Linked DNA regions of Alligator mississippiensis. The protein of the gene in region 2 interacts with the protein of the main gene of each other region in a biochemical or structural test. Links are inferred from orthologs where the notes say so. Each region holds a gene or a part of one and is shown on either strand. Other genes may lie near its edges.

Region 1 (7,003 bases), on a different chromosome or scaffold from region 2:
CATCACAAAACTTTAGGATGGTTTTACCATTGATCCTGCCCTCCTGAAGGAACATGTGCATCAGATTGTCACAGCAGATTCCCAGAGGTCCATGGACCTAGCCAGGCAGGTAAGAGAACCCCAAATACTGCATCTTGGCCTCTGGGGTCTTCTACCGACTTCCCCCAGTTTACTCAATTGCATACAGACCCAACTTGCTCAGGTTCTGGGCTGCAGCCTCTCTCCACTGGTGCTGTCCTAGCTTATATAGCCTGATACACCAAAGTATGAACCCCAATCCTGTTTACCTCTTTTAGCCCCACCTCTGTCCCAATAGACCCTTACTCTCTTAAATTAGCCTACACACTCCAGTCTTTATTCTGTGCACTGTATCCATCAGCTGAACTTCCACCAATTGGATGAGGGAGATAAAAAGAAAGGGGATAGATCCTTGAGCAACACATCCCATGCTTTCTGGCTTTGCCTCCAAGCTGGGGGCTGCCAGGCTACTTACTGGCTCTCAAACAACTTGGGCTCAACTGAATTTGATATTTGGAAGCTTTGTTCTGTTCCTATTTGAGCCCCTAGATGGAGACTCACAGGGCTATTTGAACCTGCCAAAGCTTTTGGTTTTAATTCCCCTGTTCTACAGGTAATCCACCTGCAAAAGGGGAATTGTATGTCCTCCCACGCCCCAGGTTTAATTACAGTGCTGAAAGCTCCTTGATCCTCAGAGGACAGGTGCTGTCTACAGCAGAAAAAAATAACGATATTCCTGTCCTGTTTCAGTAGCATTCTGCAGTGGTCTTCATCATAGGATCTCCAAGGCAATGTCAGTGCTCCTGAAACCCATCTATTGGGTTTCAGCAAAATAAAATGCATTATAACTATTATATGGCTGAGGAAATGGAGACCCAAAGAGCTAGAACAACTTGACCAAGGTAGCTCTGCAAGTTACAGCTCCAAACCGGACCTACCTTCTGAAACCTGGTCCCTTGTTTCAGCCATTAGACTTGCTGCCTTTACATTGGACCTTCAGCATTTTAAAAAGTAACATAGGACCTGATCCCAAACCCACCGAAGTCATGGACTCTCTCCATTGACTTACACATGCTTTGGATTGGGCTTATAAGCAAGAGAGAAAGAGAGAGAGAGAGAGAGAGGGAGAGAGGGAGAACACGCAGGGAGCCACCACTTTTCAAGGAATTTATGCCAGCACGTTTTCCCTATTCAGAAGAAATTATGGAGAGTAAACAGACCCAGACACTGCTTTTACAGCTGTGAGTTTAAGGGAAAGGAAAAGAAAAAAAAAATCCATGTGCCTCCATCCCAAAACAGTATTTCCATTGCCTTGGAATGACCTTATTTCTTTCATAAACTGCTTTTCTTATCCCCGAGATACTGATCAGCTTACGGTGGACTGCAGAAGAATGCCTCTCCCTCCCCCCAGCAAGAATGCATCTGGAGAGCTGTTCGCTGAGAATTTGCTTCCTGAGACCACTGAAGCCAGTGGTATAGTCTTTCCACCAGCCTGGAGGTCCTCTGGATCCCTGAGCTCACACAGTATCATACCACTTTCTATTCATACCTCCAAAGGAGACAAAAATCCCCTCTCTTCCCAACCAGTCCTTCTTGTTTATGTTACACTTAACTTTGTAAATATGGGGCTTTTTTACTCCTTAACACACTGCTGGGACAGGACCATACTTGGAGGATGCCTGTCTCATATCCAAGAGGTCTGACACACACAGTTCTGCCTTTCGGTCTATTCCACACTAACTCCTCTCTGGCCCCGGTCACACGGGGGATACAGTCTAGCCGCTGTCAGACAGAGCTTTTGGCTGGGGTGCCAGCAGGACCTCCCTGCTCCAGAGGTCTCCAGTATCGGGGTGTCATACACTGGACTGGCAATTCTCAACCCTGGGGTGCTGCAAAATTATTTTAAGTGTGTTGCATATTAGCTCTGTTAAATCCACAAGCCCAGAGACTGTGAATGGAAATCCACAGTGTCATGAGTGCTCTCGCCTGCCGTGAGCTCCCTGGAGTCTTTGCCACAGGAGAATCGCTCTCTTATTCCCTACCACAGGAAGGAGGCGAGTGAAAGCTCAGAGCTGGCATTTTCCACAGGGTGCCTCGAGTCTACCAAAAAGTACACGGGGTCTCAAGAGGCTGAGAGCCACCGCAGTAGCCCCAAGAGTCCCTGGCTCCTACAGCCACCCACCTACACCCATGAGCTGGCTCCGGGCTCTTGCCAGGAAGCCGGGTGGCCTCTCAGAGGGAACCCAGCTGGGCAGAGCAGCTCCATAAGATGAAGACCACAAGCCTCAAGCCCAACCAGCCCTAGCGACCCCAGCTTACCTCCGAGTAGACATAGAGGGGCAGGACCAGGATGGCCAGCAGCAGGTCGGCCACGGCCAGGCTGACGATGAAGTAGTTGGTGGTGGTCTTCAGCGCCCGCTCCATGCAGACACTGAGGCAAACCAGCAGGTTCCCACAGATGATGAAGAGGATGAGGAGGATGCCCAGCACCAGGGCGGCCACGTTGTGCCCGGGCTGCCCGCCCGGCACCTGCACCGTGGCATTGGATGGGTCCTCCTCAGTGCCATTGCTCTGCATGGCTGGGGCTCGGGGGGCACCTTGGCACCCCCAGCCCCTGGCTCCTTTAGGGGGCTCCCTGTAGCTCCTTCCAGGGGCCCCTCATGGAGGGGAAGGGTGGGGTGAGCTTCCCTCACTTTAAGGCTGGGGCTCACACGCCCCCATGGTCCCTGCCGGGGCGGGCGGAATGCGGGCACCCGGCACCAACCCCGCGGCTGCAGAGCAGGCTCCGCTCGCTGTCAGCGGTCACCTCCCGCCCGCCGAGCCGCTTAGGGGGCAGCTCTCGGCCGGGACAGGGCGGGCTTCTCGCGAAGAGCCGCTTAAACGGGGTGGGGCTTCAGGTCCTCAGCCACGTGGGCCCTGCGCCCCGCCCCGACCTGAGACCTTCCCCCTGAGCTGCGCCCCCAGGGGGGCTGGCCCTGGCCCTGGCTGCGGGGAGCCTTGCCCGGCAGGAGCAGCGCGTGCCCCCGGGAGGAGTTGTCACCCGAAGCAGATGAGGCGCCTTTAAAAAAAACACAAACTTCTGCTCCTGACATCACAAGCCCCGCGCTGTGACGTCATAATGCAGGCCCAGCCGGGGGTCAAGAGTCGGAGGGAAGCAGGGCTGGAAGGGACCTTCCTCGAGGCATCTAGCGCAGGTTTTCTCATTGGCAGCGCGCAGGGGGTGCCCGCGGGGGCACATGCATCCCCTGAGCTTGGCGGTGTGTCCCTGCAAAAAGCACAGTCACTGCTCGCCACCCCCTGACTCCGCCGGTGGCATCTGCGGGCGGTCCCCGATTGGTGCTGGATGCCGCCAGGTGTCTGCGGGTGGTCGCCGACCGCTGCTTGGCGCTTACCCCCACCCTGCCACCGATGCTGCCACAAAGCCTGCAGGAGCTTCCTGCTCACCACTGCTACCACCACCTGTGGACGGTCACTGTGCCCCCCAGCCTCCGGGGACACTTGGCATTCATGACCCAGGGGTTGTAACTAGGGTCCAGTTGTCCTCTGTCCTCTATTGATATGAAACCTGATGCCTTTATGCCCTCTATTTTTTGGTTTCGTATAGATAGAGGACAGAGTAGTAGAAAACCAGAATGTCCTCTATGATGGCCACCCTAGTTGTAACTCAAAAGTGGACTGCAACAATATATGAAAGGGTCACAAACAAACTTGAAGAATGCATTCTCCTTTTAAAGGAGAAAAACATGGGGAATTGTGGCTTTTCCCTTGCAGGCTGGCAGAGCTCCAGCCTGCCAGGCGCTGCTTGGGGCTACTTACCCCCCCCCACCCCCTGCCCTGCACACTGGGGGCAGAGGGCAATGGGTTGGGAGTGGGGCACTGGGTCAGGACTGGCCACTGATGTTTACCAAAGGGTCCTGATATAAAAAAGGTTGAGAATAATTTCTAGAAGACCAATTCAGGCTCAACATTAGGAAAAACTTCTTTACAGCTAGGGTGTCCAGACTGTGGAATAGGCTCCCTCCAGAGGTGGTATAATCGCAATCGCCTACCCTGGGAATCTTCAAGAGGAGACTGGACGGTCACCTCGCTGGGGTCACCTGACCCCAGCTGTCTTTCCTGCCTGGTGCAGGGGGGGCTGGACTTGATGATCTTCCGAGGTCCCTTCCAGTCTTATAATCTATGAAAAAACCATGGATCTAATGCAAACCTGTTCCTGAGGCAGGATCATTTCTCTCCAAAGCATCCCATACAACCATAATAGAAACTCTGCATAAGACTGCCCTCAGCCCTGACAAGGTGGAGCCCAAACCCTTGTCACTCACACAACAAGACTGGCGGGTGGTGATCAGTGTCACACTGGCTAAAGGGTTCTTGGTTGTAGCTATGTTGGACTAGGGACATCGGTAGATAAGGTGCTTTGGGTAGATGTGATATTTTTTTATTAGACCAACTAAATAGTTGGAAAAATTGTTCTTTGGAAGCTTTTGGGCACAAACATCCTTCTTCAGGCTCAAGTCACTCTGGGCTGTTCCCGTGCTAACAGACCTGGCACTGAAAAATGACTACAAAAATAATAATTCTGGCGTAAATGATACCTCTGCTCCCTTCCCAAGCTTTCCATGTATCTCCAGGTGACTATAGTGCTCCAGTTCCCAGACTGTTAGGACTCATTAGGTTTTTTAATCAGAAGGACAATACACCAACGTTTTTTGCTCTGCTACTGCTGCTGTTTCGCTCTTTGATTAGCCAGGCTTGGAGTCTAGCGATAATTGATTGGCATATCTGTATTCATTAGCCAGGACTTTCTGGGTCAAGGAAGCCTGATGTCGGAATGCATCCCTGTCTCTTCTGTGAACTGCTGAAGAATGAAAAGAGACAATGTTTGTATTGAAATCTGAAAACTCTAATTAAAAAAACCCTCAAACCCAAAACAACAAACAGCAACAGCGTAAATAGCCACTGGAAGAATGTGACTGATTGGCATCATGAGTGAAAAGTTAGCATGAGTCCCCTCCACAATGAACACAATTAAGTGGTTTGGAGCCAAAACTTCAGTTGGACATACGATGGGTTTATCTGTTGAAACGAATGTAGTTGTGCCTAATTGTGGCTGCTGAGAATCAAGCCTTGGGTATACTGCGGTTGTTTGTTGTGGTGTGGTCCTAAGGCTTTCTCAGCACCCCTTGACTTGGGAATGGCTGATGTACAAGGTATGCCACCCCAAACAAGCCACCCTTTGTATCCCATTGTTTCTTCATGCAGACTCTCTATATAGAGACAGGGTTAGGCAATCTAGGGTTCTGTAGCTATAGCTCTACTTCTGCCCCCACTTTTGAAGTGGCCAAGGGGCCAGTACCCACCCCAGGAGCTGTGAGTGTCTGCTTAGCAGTGTGGCACTGTTCCCTGCGTTCTTCTCCAAGTTTTCTGCTAGTATGGGATCATCCAGAGTGGTGCAATAAGGCCCATCACTGAGATGCATGAGGCCAGTAAAACTGCTCAGAGCTCAAGCTGTTTGCAGATGCAAGCACACTTCATTGCATTGGTTACACCTGAGGTACTTTTCAAGCTTTTCTTCACAAGTACAAGGGCTAGAAAGGTTCATTTGACTGGGGCCACAAAGCTTCTGTCTTAGCCTGGCAGTGTGCATATACCACACGTCTTCCAGATTATAGCACAGATTAATATAACTTTGCCAAATCTGTCCATCTGTGCAGCCAGGCACCATAGGACCCTGCCTGCTATGATAACTAAAACCATGGTTCAAAGTTGATACCATTTTCTTGGAAGTCCTGATGTTAACGTACAGTACCTCACAGTGCAACAGGGAAAGATGCTCAAGCTGTGGACCACTGGAAAGCAATGGCTCCCAGCTCCCCTTTCTAGCCATAATGGTACAGCAGAAAGTGGATTTGAAGAGCCCAATCCAAAATCAGTTGAACCGATTTTGAATTAGATTCTTAATCTGTCACTTTCCATCCTGCAGTTCAGGTTTGAAATTTGGGGGGATGCTGGTGCCTGATCCTTTTGCATTGGGGGAGGGGGAAGGCTGCCAGTAACTCATTTGGTTACAGCTACTCACAGATTTCAGTTATTAAAGAATAATTTATTTGATAATGATATGTATGGAACAAAAATCTCTCTTTGGGAGAAGCAAAGCAAAGGTTTACAGTACCGAGCATGGAAAAGCCTAATAATCCCATTTGCAGCCATGGCCTGCTGCATTCATGTGCAAGATTTATCCTCCTTGAAAAGTGCATCAGTGTTTTAAGGTGGTACACATGAAATTCTCTTTCACTATAATTGTCTAGACTTTGGATGATGCGTAACTCATAAATTAAAGTTATTTCTTTTGAAGCATTGGGCTTTTCAGATTTCCCGGTAATGAAACCTGATTTGTGATGTCTAAATCTTGTATGAAGGTCAGCATCAAGGTTTCTTTGCTTATTATTGCCTATTTAGGAGCAACGGAATGAAAGTGCTCAACAAAAGGGATTCTTGCTTGATCTTGATTCATATTTGATGAATGTACAATGGATAGGGAATGTAAAACAAACACATGTACGTGAGTGTCTGCACTATGCCTACTATGTCTTATTCTTTTCCACCTCTATAAACATCTTCAGTAGCCACAAATAGATTTTTAACTAACCAAATAAAAAGGACTGATATATACTGCACAGGGCATGCACTTCTCCTGTCCACTTACTACCAATAAGAAGGGTCTTGTTCTTTCATAGTTGTGCCTCTAGCATCCTAGCTGGAAAAAAGTCCTCATATGCCATAACATTTAGCCATGTCTTGATATCCACAAAACAGCAGAATTGAAGCACATAATGGCTGCTGTGGACTATGCTTCTCTCCTAGCCCCGGAAGGAGAGGTGGAGTGCATCCTTCAGAGGGACAGTTAGTTTTATCCCTGTTAGGGCAGTAGAACTGCAGTTCTGTAGCTGCAGCTAGAGACTAATGCTGAGGAGCGGGCCCTGCC
Region 2 (7,130 bases):
GCTTTAGATTTACCCATCTGAATCAATGTTAGCTGTAGCTCTGCCAAAGTCATTTTACTACTTAGAACAGGGATGGGGAAAATGGCAGATCCAGCCAACAGCTGGACTCCATTTCCCAGCAGCCTCTGCCAACAAGAGGCCAGGGTTTCCATAGAGACCGGCCCCAGCAGCACTGGCAGGGTGCATGGGCTGGGCAGGGAGGCTGCTGGGGCCAGTCTCCATAGAAACCCTGGCCCCACGCTGTCATGGCCCTGCTGCTCCTAGGGTCTCCATGGAAACCAGTTGCAGCAATGTGGCCAGGGGCTCCTAGGAAATGGAGTCTGCTGCAGGCCTGATCTAGCCCGGACTTTGCCCGTCCCCGACCTGGAACAAGAACATGTCTTTAGTGTAAACTGCAAATATCAAACTCACCCAGCCCTGTGGGCCAGATGAGTAAAGCAGGGCTGGTCTGCTAGGGACCAGTGGTTTTCAACCTGTGGTCTGCAGACTATATCTAGGAGGTCCGTGAAAGATGACTATGATCAAAAGCAAGTGAATACCACACTTAAAATTCAAAAAGGTCCACGCCTCCATTCAAAATTTCCAAAGGGGTTCAACAAATGAAAAAAGGTTGAAAACCACTGTGCTAGACAGATTTGGCCCAAAGACCAGCCCACACACAGATGCAGCATAGGTGCTAGATCTGGCACCGCTAGTGTAGGCTAATACAAATAATAAAACAACAGTTTCTAATCAAGAGAGCACTACACTGGGGTTCAGGAGATCAATGTTATATTCTTGGTTCTGCTACTGACCTGTTCTATGATATTGAATGAGATGCAACTCATCTCTGGACTGGTTGCCTACCCAGCTCTCTCTCACTCTTATTTATTTAGGTTGCAAACTCTCTAGGCATTGTTTCTGGTTATACAGCACTTAACATAATAGGATAATAATCCCATTTGAAATCTTTAATTACTATTATGATGTAAATACCATGATCAGAAAGACTGTTGGATGACGAGACCACTGGGGGAATGTTTTTCGTTTGAAAGCTTTGAGTCCTTAGGCTTTCAATAACCTGAGTAGTCAGAGCCAGATCCTATTCTACCTATAAGAATATACATGATCTTATTGTACTCTCCTTCTGAAAAACAGTTAATGCAAGAAGTGGATGGATCCTCTTCCTGCTCACAGTTTCTTTTGACTTAGTCTGTCATCTTAGCCTTCAGACCATTACAAGTGCGCACAGTAACATTTTTCTGGCACTTGAACCAGGTAGAATTGGATAACACTTGGTTATATAATACACATAATAAAATCTAACCTTTCAAGATGAAAGCAAAATCCTTTCTAGAACAAAGAACATGCAAGAGCTGGATGAAGCATACACTACATTTTGGTACAGCAGGAGGCTGACGGCCATGAAACAGTAAAAACTGCCAGTCGCCACTTCTGCAAGGCACTGCTAAACTTCAGCAAGCTTGCTAAAAAGCCGCTAGCTAGTTAAAGCTGAGCAAAGCAGCTGCAAGCTTTGTCAAAGTAGAAACTTTGTCAAGGACAATAAGAAGATGCTCAGAAAGAGAAAAAAAGTGTGATAAGAAAAGTATAACAGCCTTGGTGTGTCTATGCAGACAGAGTTTTAGAAAGATAACCAATAGTGAAAACTCAATTAGGCAAATAATCTATAAAATGGCCAGTAGTCTTGGCAACAGTCATGGTAAAAATAATAAATACGCAACTAAAAAGGCATAAAAAAAAGTTTGGGAACAAGAGGCCGCTGGATTACTAAACCGCTGGGTGACTAGACTATGCCCCAATGAGACCCTGAATTGTCTAATATCAAGGATACGGAGGAAGACTCGCTTGCAAAGTAACCAGCGCATGTCTAGGTATAGGAGCATGTGCTATCTGCTGAATAAACCTACATTAGCAAGGTGGAAACTCCTGTCTCTTGAGCACTTTCTCAACAACCCCCTGGATCCCCAGTCGGAGGTTTTGAGACACCAGCCACATTCGTGACAGACACGGATCCAAAGTCCTTTTGCGACAACTGCCTGGCCTACCTCGCTGGTGAACATTGCGCAGAAGTAATCACTGCAAGCAGCCAACACAATCCGATGGGCTGGGAAATCCTTCTGCTCCACGCGCAGGGTCACGTCACAGAGAGTATTGCTCTTCCGCAGGGAATTCATTGCGTTGAGGATGGACTTGGCGTGCGAGTTAGTCATGATATCTTTCGGAGCCATAGCGTCAGCAGCATAGCACGGAGAGCGGGAGGCGCCTCAGCTCCCTGCGAGCGGAGAGAGCAGAGCCTTACTTCACCGGGAGCGCGGGGAGCCTCCGACACGGAGGCCGCAAACAGACGCCACTTGTCGAGGGGCGAACCGTTTCATCCGGGCTCAACGTGCCGCCATTCGGACGCCCGCGCCTGCTGTCACAGGAGCTTCATAGGACAAAAGGGCACGAACAGTTAATGCCAGGACAGCGTCTGAAGGCTCATGCCAGGTTTCTGGCACAAAAGTGACAGCTAGGGCGACCATCGTAGAGGATAGTTCGGTTGTCCTCTATTGATACGAAACCGGACGCCGTTATGTCCTCGATTTTTCTCTTGAAATGGACATAAGGCGCTGGGTTTCCTATCAAGAGAGGGCAGAGTAGCAGAAAACCGGACTGTCCTCTAGGATGGCCACCCGAGCCTGTGTGGAAAGGTCCATGTCGGCACAGGCCAATCCCGGGATCTCTGCTCCGGGATAAACCCAGGCACCAGCTGTCCCGGGACAAAGGCAGCACCTGCTCCTGGCTCAGGAGGCCGGCGGGGACCAGTCTGGGCGGCTAGAGCCACCGCGGGCGGGGCAACGGGCACCTCTCCACCGGGTGAGCACAGCCCCCTCCCCTGACGGACACACCCCGCCCGCCGGCCCCGCCCCGCGGACACACCTCAGCCCGCACCGCGCCCGCAGCGGGGAACGGGCCCGGCGCCCGCTGATGGCGTCACAGCCCTGCAGCCGTTCGCGCCACGTGATCTGGGCTCCTGCAACGCGCGCTGATGGCGTCACGCGCGCCGCACCGCCCCTTGCTCCACGTGACCCCCGAGCGGGCGCGTGGTCTTGTTGCCGCGGTTACTTCACGTCAGGGCCCGCCCCCTCTTCCAGCTTCAGGTTTTTGCACTGCGCAGGCGCGTCCGAACTCCGTGCCGCACGTGCCTTTTGTCTCGGTGGCCGAGCGCGGCGGGGGTCCTGCCCGTGCCCATCGTGTACTACTGTTCCAGGTGGCCCCGGCTCTAACGCGTGTCCGGGCCGGAGGGATGCTGAGAGCCCCGAGTCTACACCTGCACCCTCCGTGCGACTGGAGCCAGAGCCGGGCATCTGTCTGCTGAGCACCCCCTGGCCCCTGCACAGGCATGCTTTTGCAAACACTACTCGCAGGGTTCTTGGTTGTCGCCGTGTTGGTCCAAGGACACAGGCAGGCAAGGCTCTTGGGTAGATGCGATCTCTTTCATTAGACCACCTGAGTTGTTGGAGGAAAGTTCTTGGCAAACTTTGGGGCGCAAACGCCCTTCTTCAGGCACCAAAAGTCTCTGCTGCTCCGCGACTCCCGAGGAACGAGAGACGCTAGAAGTGTGGCAGGAGGTCGGTGAGAAGGTAAATGGGTAGAGATTAGAAAGACCAAGAGTAAAGCAGAGAGGGGAGGGGAAGAGAGCAGGGGGAACAAAGGCTAAAGGGAGACATTACAGAGACAGACTGTGAAAAAGCCTCTCTTCACTGCCTGACATCTGATTCAACAGGTGCCTGCCTGACCTGACCTCTTTTCTCCCCTCCCCTCCTTTTCTTTCCTTTGTCTCCCTGATTTCCTACTATTTCCTTCTTCTTTGAGAGCCTCTTTCTTACCCTGTTTTATTACCTCTGTAATGTTTTGCTTTGGCCTTTCCCCCCCCTGCTCTTTTCCCCCTCCCCTTTTGTTTCTCCACTCTAGGTATTTATATACATCCTCTCGCACTGTGAGCTTCTCTCATTCCTGTTGCCCTGATCTCCAGCTATTTCCTTTTTCAAAGACGGCCTCTTTTCCACCTTGTAGTCTATCACTGTAATGTCTCCCTTTAGCCTTTCTCCTCCTCTCTCTGCTTTACCTTTTGTCTTTCTAATTTCTCCCTATTTACGTTCTCACTGACATCCTGCCACACTTTTAGCTTCTCTCATTCCTTGGAGTCTCAGACCAGCAGAGGCTCCCTGTGCCTGAAGAAGGGTAGCTGCGCCCAAAAGCTTGCTAAGAACTTTTTTTCCAACTACTCAGTTGGTTTAATAAAAGATATCACATCTACCCAACAAACCTTGCCTGCCTAGTCGCTCTAATAAAAGATATTCCTCTGCCATGAGTTTTGATTCCTTTCGTCTCTAGACCAATGCAGTTACAACCTGGACACCTGACCCCTATGGAGTCTGAGCCAACAGGATCCCAACCTACAGACGTAGTTTACGGAGAACATTATATATGGAGCATCTTTACCACAGCGCACGTCCCTATAGTACAGTTCACAACAGCAGCCTTAAAGGGACTCTTGCCAACAACACTTCTACTGGAAACTCATTTAATGGCAGCACTTCAACATTAGCTCAGAACATAATGAAGGAAATTCTAATCTGAGTTCTTAATTCCAAAACACAAATGACACCAGTTGCTCATTTAAGGCTTTATCTTGCAAGATGCTGAGAATATTCAGCTCTGCGTATAAGCTGCAGAAAAGCTGCTAGAGCTGAAGAATGTTTAATATGAAGAGCCCACAGTATTTAATAGAGATTGTCATTATGGGGGATCACAAGCATTAAAGCAGATGGTGAGACTTTGGGAGAGGAATGTGCCCTTTTAGGTCAAAGCTGGATAAATAGTGGTGTCTTCACAGCATAGAAACCACTGAGAGGGTATAGGAACCGTGTTTGTTCCACATGCTAGAAGTTGCTATGCCCCGGGCTCTGGTCCTACAGGTGGCTGTTTGCACAGAACTGAGCTTTTTACCCTGCTATTCAGATTGCCTAGTTCAGCCCCAGATCCAAAAGTAGGTGTCCCACAAAACTCAAAATCCTTGATCCAATTGGTTTAAATAAAAGTACAGAAAAACAGACCTCCACCAGGTAGAACTGTACTGTGGGGGGTGGCAGAGCTGAGATTCAGCTAGGGTTACCCATCCTGCTTTATCCTTGGGCCCCATATCTTGCAAGGGAGATGCCTGTGGGTGCATGCACATGTGAGAGAAATTGGAGCTCAGCAGTAGTGGACCAGGGACCATGTGCTGCTTTGCCTAGGTTTGCCACCAGGAGGATTTGAGAAGACAGAGCTGCATGCAAGCCACCAGCACATTGAACAAATACTCTGGAGCCTGGTCTTTTTGTGGAAGGTTCCCCACCACCATCTGAGTTCAGGGAAGAGGGAACTGGTGTGATGAGCCAACCAGAAACACAGCTGCCAAACTTGAAGAAAGCAAGCTAAGACAGTGCCACATCTGGGCTTGCTTCTTCCCCCCATGCATGCCGTGCTGTCTCACCCTGAGAGTGGAGCTCTTCAGGTTCTCAGACACGGTACAGTCACCCCTTATTGGAAAGTTATCTGCCATAACAGCTGGCAGGAGCATAGACCAGCACCAGCAGCAAGGACCTTTGAAGGAATGGGACATCCTCATTGCCCCATGGTCCCTGTCCACTTCCCAACCGTGATTTGGGGTGTTAGCTTCCTTCTACTTATCAGCTTTAAATGCCCTGTCTCTCCAGAGCCCCCATGGTTCCTCCACATTAAGTTTCATGCCCCTGTCCTGCCATGCCTCCTCCTGCATAACCCCCTCTGCTGTCCTTGGACTAGCGCCGCACAGCAACCCAGAGGCAGGATTGCAATCTGGCTAGCTTGAGGCCAATAACAGTGGAGCCACAAAAGCACAGGTATAAGTTGGGGGCTGTAAAACCTGACCTGAACCATGGGGAAGAAAGGTCTAGCATTTCTGTCAAAACTGCAAAAGAGGCATGTAGTCACATGGAAAATTAACCCTGTACAATCTTAGTGGATACAAAGTGTCCCCTAGCTTTACCTCAGTGTAGCTGGCTAAAATCAACCCTATGCCCCTTGAATAGAACTGAAGCTACTCCCTAACGGTCCCAGAATGCTGTGGTGACCAGATTATAGCAGTTTATGATATCATTTTGTATAGTTTAGATCAGTTTGATAGTAGGGATGCAAAAATATAGCCCAAGATAAGTTTGCCCTAAACAAACACTTGAGAGCCGCTAGAGGACAGTGCCCTACTGCTAGTTTTGAAGATTTTACTTTCTCCCCAGCCAACCTGCAAAACTAGTTCATCGGGAAGGGTAAAAAGCCAGAAGTGCATATAACAAAGAAATTTGGGCAGGCCAGAGAGGATCTCTTGCTCTCTGCAGTTGTTATACACAGTATATGATTAGGGAGTCAGGATGAAGACTTAACGGGCATCCTCTGTCTGAAGAAACTACATCTGTCTAGGTTACCATCAAGAGATCTGGATGGTGGTACATCACTGGTCACATAAAGTGTATAAGTATTTAGATTGTTCTTGTTCTTAAAATTCCTTTTTTCCCCCTAAATGTTTTGTTACTATTGCAAAATACTAAATAATGCTTTGGTTTGAAATGGCTACCTGGTCTGTATACTCGCTGCTACTCTCAAGCTCCCAGAGGAAAGCATCACAGGCATTGAACCCAGTCAGGCCTGTTATATGAGCGTAGTCAAGACACTGGCTTTGGGAGTGCAGAGTCCAGTTTAACAGCTGGAGGATATCATGATTTCACGCTAGAAAAGATAAAAAGGCATAAGATGTGACCCATCTTGCACAGATGGCCCTGGTTTCGGGGCATCCTCAGAAACCAGCAGGAGTGAATATATGTAGATACCCTTAGAATCTAAGGATATCTGCAGGGGTATAGGTTGTAGCCATGCAGGGGTATGGGTTGTAGAATAGCTCTAAGGCTATTATTATATCAGTGATTCCGTCTATAGGGTACACCTTCTTTAATTAGCTGTCTGTGTCTCTCCAAATGACAGGTATTCAGGCAGAAGAACGTGTGGTTATCTTTAGTTGTGTGATATTTAGTCTGAACAATTTGGTCAACAACCATTATTATATATAGCTTCCA

Evidence for each region. The genes of interacting proteins can lie anywhere in the genome.
Region 1: of the proteins of KLHL12 (region 2) and DRD4, one has a biochemical effect on the other in vitro, tested with the Homo sapiens proteins (2 studies listed by BioGRID, with this or other methods). The link is inferred for Alligator mississippiensis from reciprocal best matches to the Homo sapiens genes KLHL12 and DRD4.

What each region holds. Positions count from the first base shown.
Region 1 is NC_081825.1:183,349,157-183,356,159, reverse strand, and holds the start of DRD4 (D(4) dopamine receptor), read right to left. Parts: upstream 3,007-7,003; 5' UTR 2,596-3,006; coding exon 2,338-2,595; intron 1-2,337. UniProt on the Homo sapiens protein: Dopamine receptor responsible for neuronal signaling in the mesolimbic system of the brain, an area of the brain that regulates emotion and complex behavior.
Region 2 is NC_081837.1:33,121,352-33,128,481, forward strand, and holds the start of KLHL12 (kelch-like protein 12), read right to left. Parts: upstream 3,010-7,130; 5' UTR 2,920-3,009; intron 2,426-2,919; 5' UTR 2,229-2,425; coding exon 2,046-2,228; intron 1-2,045. UniProt on the Homo sapiens protein: Substrate-specific adapter of a BCR (BTB-CUL3-RBX1) E3 ubiquitin ligase complex that acts as a negative regulator of Wnt signaling pathway and ER-Golgi transport.